Tamandua tetradactyla: one gene and its partner. The protein of the gene in region 2 purifies or fractionates together with the protein of the main gene of each other region. This does not show direct contact. Links are inferred from orthologs where the notes say so. Each region holds a gene or a part of one and is shown on either strand. Other genes may lie near its edges.

Evidence for each region. Proteins that work in one complex are often made in the same cells at the same time.
Region 1: the proteins of TXNIP (region 2) and NLRP3 purify together in Homo sapiens (affinity purification with western blotting, with the first as the bait; 4 studies listed by BioGRID). This does not show direct contact. The link is inferred for Tamandua tetradactyla from reciprocal best matches to the Homo sapiens genes TXNIP and NLRP3.

The regions. Positions count from the first base shown.
Region 1 is NC_135346.1:61,881,063-61,884,662, reverse strand, and holds the start of NLRP3 (NACHT, LRR and PYD domains-containing protein 3), read right to left. Parts: upstream 2,469-3,600; 5' UTR 2,382-2,468; intron 831-2,381; exon of another isoform or gene 452-830; 5' UTR 392-451; intron 78-391; 5' UTR 1-77. UniProt on the Homo sapiens protein: Sensor component of the NLRP3 inflammasome, which mediates inflammasome activation in response to defects in membrane integrity, leading to secretion of inflammatory cytokines IL1B and IL18 and pyroptosis.
Region 2 is NC_135330.1:1,467,827-1,471,771, forward strand, and holds the start of TXNIP (thioredoxin-interacting protein), read right to left. Parts: upstream 2,988-3,945; 5' UTR 2,700-2,987; coding exon 2,450-2,699; intron 1,923-2,449; coding exon 1,850-1,922; intron 1,730-1,849; coding exon 1,582-1,729; intron 1,388-1,581; coding exon 1,285-1,387; intron 1,144-1,284; coding exon 887-1,143; intron 781-886; coding exon 624-780; intron 525-623; coding exon 373-524; intron 240-372; coding exon 204-239; 3' UTR 1-203. UniProt on the Homo sapiens protein: May act as an oxidative stress mediator by inhibiting thioredoxin activity or by limiting its bioavailability.

The sequences.
Region 1 (3,600 bases), on a different chromosome or scaffold from region 2:
CTGCAGCTCCAGTCAGAGTCCATGGGCATGGGTCCACACTGGGATTAGTTGAAAACGTCAGACAAACAAAGCAGCATCTAGATAAGGAGACTCTTTTTAAAAGAACCACTTGCCCAAAGAAAATTAAATTATCAAAACCCCAGAAAACTGAACAGAAAAAAAAGCGCTTTACTATGATGGAGTGTGCAAATGTTCTAAAAATGATTGTGGTGATGAATATGCAACTATGTGATGATATTGTGAGCCACTGACTATATACTTTGGATGGACTGTGCATGAGATATCTCAATAAAAATATTTTTTAAACAAAAGATAAAATGAAAGCTTATTAGCAAAAAAAAAAAAAAGATAGGAAAAGAAAAAGAAAAAAGAAATGAGCCAAATTACTTACCAGAAAGTTTTTCTGTTAGTTTGATCTGAGAGTATCTAAAGTCATAAAAGAAAGCTTTTCCTATGGAAAGAAAAAAATTCAACACACAAACTTAATCTCATTAACAATGTAATGTATGCCCAATCTCCCAACCAGTATATGATGACAACTTGACCTATCATCAAGAGAATTTTGCTTCCATAGTGGGCTATGACTTGGACAAACGCTTTACTGATTTTCAACTTCAGTTTCCTCTTCTATAAAATGAATGAGCAGACAAGATTTTTTTAAGTTTCTTCTAACTGAAAAGCTCTATTTCCATGTCTTGTTTTTGAAGGAAAAATGCATGAAAGATAAAAGAAGGGTAAGGATAGGAGATGCAGAATTATTGTGACAACAGATCAGCATATGCAATGGAGAGAAGGGTTGAGAGAATAGAAGCATGCAGAGGAAAGGATCATGTATAACTCAAGAGTTGATAGAAACTGAAATTAGATGGAATTTGAGAAGCACAAGAGGGAATAATAAGTACATCACTTGAATGTTTCCTGACAAAAATCACAATAATAATTATGACAACATTTATTTGGATCTTCCCAGGTGCTAGGTTCTTCACTGATGTATTTTCACATTTAATGTGCACTAAACCCTATGAGTTGGGTATATTATTCTTCCTATTTTATGGTGGCAGAATAGAGGTCAAGTGACTTGCCCAGGATTTCACACCTAAGAAGGGGTAGAGCCAGGATTTAAACCAGTCACCCAATTTCAGAGCTCCTGCTACTAACTACACTTTTCACAAGTTGAAAATGTATAAAAGAATTTTGCCTAAAACTTAAATAAGTGTTTTAGTCAGACAGAAGCAAAAAATGATAAAAGCACTATGCCACCTTATAGCTTTAAATTACATTATAAGAAGAGGCCAAGCGAGCTGGAATACTCTCCAAGTTGGAATTTATAATGACCGCAGTTTGATGTCATTATATTGTGGCTTGAAGTGTTTCCCACAAAAAAGATATGTCCAAATCATAACTCCCAATCCCATGAATGCAACCTTATTTGGAAACAGAGTCTTTGAAGATATGATAGTTAAAATGAAGAAAAACTGGATTTAGGGTGGGAACTAAGTGACTGGAGTTCTTACGAGAAGAGGAAATTTGGATATAGATGAACATGGGGAGAAGGCCGTGTGAAGATGAAGGTGGCAGGGTGAGGCATCTACAAGCTGAAGAATGCCAAGGATTTCTGACAAAAAAAAACAGAAGCTAGAAGAGGCAAGGAAGGGTCCTCCCCTACAGGTTTCAGATGGAGCATGGACCTGGTGACATGTTGATTTCAAGCTTCTAGCCTCCAGAACTGTGAGAGAATAAATTTCTGTTATTTTAAGCCATCCTATTTGGGATATTACAGCAGCTGTAGGAAACTAAGATGCTACTTCATCTCTCCATTTTTCATCATTCTTGCCTCTCCACTCCTGGCCTCATACCCCCCTACCCTTCCAGACAGGTCCATTTATTCTTCCAACTCTCCACAGGTCCTGCCCCATCAATCATCCTTGATGCCACACTGACCATATCAGGATTTGACCTCTCCTCTGTGTTTCCCAAACCCAGCCCAAGTATACTCCATTCTAATTATTACCTCTTGGTTTCTAAGGAGGTTTCTTTCCTCACATGGATTTCATCCATCCAATCCTCTGAAAGGATGCTTGGCAAACCCACTAAAGTCTTGGGTATAATTTGTGTTTGCTGTCCCTGCCCTACTGCCTCTGCCTTGTGTTTGTCTCCCCACTACACACAAATGCACTTGCATACACACAAACACACACACATGGAGCCCAGAGTAATCATAAACATAAAAGAATATTCCAGAAATGCTGTTGAAGGACAGTCTTGGAGTGTCTCAGAATATAGCACAAGCTCACCAACCAAGACATATTCTAACCCTCAACATACCCTTCCCATTTCTCCCTGATCTTTTTGGCCACCCTGCTCCACCAACCTGAACTCACCCAGACACCAGCTTCAGGAACAGCAAAAGAGGAAATGTGATGAATTTATAGCAGGCATAGTCGCACAGGAGTCAGGAAGGATGTGGTCTTAGAGGGTAGGAACAAACTTGCATCATAGGCAAAGGCAGAGAGACTGTTACTCACAGAGTTGGACTTTCCAAAACCAGATAGTTCATGCTCTCAAAACTGAGCCTGCCACTGTGTACACTTGTGCGGGTTTTACCACTGCACAGATGCTCCCCTCCCAGGGGTTAATAGGGACTAAGCTCTAGTCTGAGCTCAACTCGCCAATCTGCATGCCTGGAGGAAGAACACAAAGGCATTGGATGTGACTCTGACTGTGCTAGAGCAGTTCAACGTTGAGTCTTGCCCTTGGGTACCATTCTTGTCTTTACTTAGAAATTATTTTCATGAAATAATAGGACTAGGGATCCACAAGTCTGCTGTGTGGCAGTTAGTGTGAGGGGTGTAGCAAGTTCTCACTTACTAAAAATCACAAGAACATCAATGTTTCATGAGTGATTTACATTTTTAAAGTATACACTTATATTTTATTGAGAGTATATATTTTACTTTTATGTATGCATATCTGTAATATAAAATCAGATTCATATCCCTCTCCCTTTTTGTAATCTAATATGCTTTCCTGAATGGTAGATAAAAGGTTATAATTTATTAGCCCCTTGACAGTTGTGAAGAACCCTAGGTATGCCCATAGATGTGTCACCTGTCAAGAATCTTGGCAGGAAAAAAGGTCAAGAGCTTTGTAATTAGAGTACAAGATGGTGATAACTTAGTCCCTTGCCTGTCTCTAGTTGCCATGTATCTGTTCTGTTTTCCTACAGCCTTGTTCCCTACATACCCTTGCTGCCTTCATTTATTCTTTTTTTTTTTTTTTTTTTTTTTGGTGACATTCATGTAAAACAAAACAAAATTAACCATTTTAAGAAGGGCGAACTGTGGTGTATACATATCATAAAATGGGCATTGCCCAAATATCCCTAAAGATTGGGAGAAGGATCTAGGGAGATGGAGGAGTTATAACAGAGAAGATAGGATTTAACAAATGAGTACGACTCCCGAATCATTATATTAATATTTCTTTTAGTCTCCAACGTCTTGGAGCAGCTAGAAGGAAAAACCTAAAATTGTGAAACTGTAACCCATACCATACCTTGAAATTTGTTCTATAACAACTTGCTAAAGTGTGCCTTGAAAT
Region 2 (3,945 bases):
CATATCACACCGCCGAGCAGGCTGAGGACGAATCCTCACACACTAAGGCCCAGGCGTGTCCCTGCTGACGCCCTACTGCGCAGAGGAGTCAAAGGCTGGGGTACACCCACACCCCACTGCAGAGGCAGCTGAGCCTCTGAAAATGTGACGAGTCCAGAAAGAGAGGTGGAAAGAAACACACAGGTACAGCTGCTGCTTCCACCTCACTGCACATTGCCATTGAGGATGCAGGGATCCACCTGGAGTAAGAAGGGAAAGACCATTTTAGTCCGGGTGAGAACCAAAAGGGAAAACACCTTAGCAATCCCTCCAAATCAACACCCTATACAGAAGGCTTCAGACAAAGGTGGTGGCAAAGATGACAGTTCCCACCTCAGTGTAGGTGGGCGGTGGCATGAACTTGAACTCAGGAGCATACATAAAGATCGGGCTGTCCTGGGAGCCATCCATGTCATCCAGCAGAGGGGTAGTGGGGCTCTCCAATCGGTGGTCTTCAGGAATGATATCCATATAGCAAGGAGGAGCTAGAAAAAGAAATCAGAGGGATAAGATGCCTGGCCATCACACACGGTTTCCCAAGAGGCAGGCCAGAAGAGGAAGACAAGACACGTGGTCTGGCTCACCTTCTGGGGTATCGGGGATGTGGAGATCCACCCAGCTCATCTCGGAGCTGGTTCGGCTGGCCATGCTGGAGGTCCGGCTGCTCAGCCCCGACCTGCTGCCAATGACCAGAGGCAGGTCAAGGATGACTTTCTTGGAGCCAGGAACACTAACGTAGATCTAGGAAGGAAAACGGCAGATGTTAGACTAAAAGTCTGGAGAAAAGCCTGCTGTGGTCATGACAGACGAGCAATTCCTCTAGAGCCCTCCATCCCTACCCACTCACCAGTAAGGAGTATTCAACTCGCAGGATGTTACAGCCCAGGATGGAAGGCCGGATCCTCTGCACGCGAAGGCTCTTGCCACGCCATGACGCACACGTGCCGGAGATGATATGATTGCCTCTGACGGACGACAGCTTCTGCGTCAGCACCTTGGTCTGACCGTTGGCAAGGTAGGTGTGGCGGGCTACGATGGCAGCTTTGGGGACCACGATGCGGGAACATGTGTTCTCAAAGTCAGCATGGATGGAAATCTCATCACCTAGCAATTAGAAAGACACAAATTTAACTGATGCTCAGAACAGTCAACGACTTCTCCTCTCCCAGTTCCCACCCAACCCCCTCCTCCAAACTCAGAGTCCCTGTTTTTAAAAGTCTACTACTTCAGGCATTAGGTTTTTACCTTCACAGAATCCTTTTCTGTCAATTCGAGCAGAGACAGATACCCGTCCATCAGGAATGAACATGCAAGAAACTTTCTTCTCCTTTTTAGCAGACACAGGTGCCTATGTACAATGGGCAGAAGAATGGTTTGTGATTATCTAGAGATTCTTCTCCCACCTTTTCACTCCTTCCCTAGAGGAGGCAGGCTTCCCTCCTCCCTTCAGACTAGGATCTTATCCCCTGAGGCACTTCAATCCAATGCCCAAAATGTATCACCTTCGAAATTCAGGAGGACAGATCTTAAAATGAGCCTCACCATCAAATCAGGAGTATTGACATCCACTAGATCCATCACTTCAAAGCTTTTCTTCGTCTCTTGAGTTGGCTGGCCGGGACGGTCAAGAAAAGCCTTCACCCAGTAGTCTACACACCCGTATTTTCCTTTGAAGGATGTTCCCAAGGGCCTATGTTAAGAAAAACAGCACAATTTATTCTGATACGTTCACCAAAAACAGTAAATGACCGAAGGGAGGGAAGATTTTTAAAGACAGAAGGGTTTAAAGGTACATTTGACTGGTCCATACCCCTGTGGAAGCTCAAAGCCGAACTTGTATTCATATTTGTTTCCAGGTCTCATGATCACCATTTCGTTCTCACCTGAAGGGAGAGCAAAGGTAAGCACCCATGAGATTTCCTGTTACACTTGAAACACATCTGTGTGACAAGAAATGCTTGGACAGCATGTGAGGGTATTGCAATGCCCCCCCTTCACCCCTTACACTCCTAAATGAAAGGATTCTGGTGCATTTCTTTGCAGCAGAAAGTTGAAAAGCCCTGTCACGCTCCAAGGCTCAGTCACGCTGAGGACAGACACACCTGCTGTCATCTCCGCGAGCAAGCAGAGGTGCAGCCTTAGGCAAGGCTTTGAAAAGCTGGGGACAGCCCCAGGGACAGGGCACAGGCCCCTGGACGGCCTCAGGACAGGCACCCTAAGGCACTGTACAGACCGCCTTGGGGAGAGGCATGCTGGCAAATTAAAACTTAAAAAGCAAAAGGCAATCTCAGCAAATTTAAATATGGGGGTAGGCTTCATTTTCTCATCTCGGGTTCTTCTCTGCCCAGCGTCCGCCCTGCAGCCCTCACCCCGGGCGGGGCCCGAGGGCGCAGCTGGGGAGTGGACTCACCTGCCGGCTCGCCTTCCAGCACCAGCGTGTCCTCGTAGCGCAGGTACTCCAGGGTCTGCTTGCACTGCTGGGACCCCTGCGTCCACAGCACCTTGGCCACCCCGCAGGCCAGGAGCCGGACGGCGCGGACCCGCGTCACCTCGCACACCTCCACTAGCACGCGGCCCGCCACCTTCTCCCCGCCGCAGTACACCTTGTCGGGGTCGCTGAAGACCACCTCGAAAGACTTGATCTTCCTGAACATCACCATGGCTGCACCGAGCGGCTCGAGAGACACGGAGGACAGACCGGCCGCCCCAAGACCGCCGAGGGCCCTTCGCGGTGACCAGGTTATTTACTCTTCCAGGGAAGAGGGGGGTCCTGAAGCAGGCGGCTCTCCAGAACAAAACAAAAGACTCAGAGACGCCCACAAACTACGCTCACTATCCGAAGACACGCGAAAAGCGGGAAGTCCGTCACTGGTGAGACAAGAACAAGGCTGGCGTCCTCCCCCACCTGCCCCTCGGCCCTCCGTCTGCAAACACAGCGCCCCCGGCCCGGAAGCCGCTTTATATAGCGGCGGGCCGGGCAGGGCCACGCGAGCGCCGGGCCATGGGCGCGTGCTGCCCTCGTGCACAGCCCTCCCATTGGCTGCCCGGCCCTTGTTTACCAGCAACGCGACCAATCGGCGAGGGCGCCGCGGCGCGTGGACACGGCGTGCTCCTGGCGGGGAAACGGGATGCTAGCCTGCTGCCCGCGGGGGGGCGGGGCCGGGGGAGGGCCTCAGCCCTGTTAGCCGTCCTCAGCCCCCCTCAGGTCCCGCTCGGCCCCGCCTCAGCCCCCCTCAGCCCCCCTCAGCCCCGCTCGGCCCCGCCTCAGCCCCCCTCAGCTCCCCTCAGGTCCCACTCAGCTCCCCTCAGCCCCCCCCTCAGCCCCCCTCAGGTCCCCCCAGCCCTGTTAGCTCCCCTCAACCCCCCTCAGGTCCCGCTCGGCCCCGCCTCAGCCCCCCTCAGGTCCCGCTCAGCTCCCCTCAGCCCCCCCTCAGCCCCCCTCAGGCCCCCCCCGGCCCCTCCCGGATGTTCCAGGGCGGCCGCCTAGGCGACGGGCGTGGCGCGTGAGGTAGAGGGGAGATGTGCTGAGGGGAACTTCGTGGGGAAGGGCGCGCCCACCGGCGCTGCTCCGCGCAGACCCCCACCCGCGTCTCTGAGGGAGAACCTGCCTCAGCCTCCTGCCCGCAGGAGTGTGCACGTGACCCCTTTCCGGGGCTCGGGGCGGGTGCCCCCCGGACCCCGCCCTGTGCCCGGCGCCAGCGGCCCGGGAGGCTGCGCCCCGTCGAGGTTCTCCCGAGCGCCTTTCAGGAGCCGGGAGGAGAGGGGGCGCGGCCGCGAGGCACCGGCGCCCGCCGCTGCGTGGTGGCCTCGGGCTGGAGGGGGGGTCCCCGGCTGCGTCAGGGCCTCAGGACCCGAGCCCCCAGGAGCTCCTCTAACTGCAGTACGAAAAGCTCGTGTGCGGAGGTT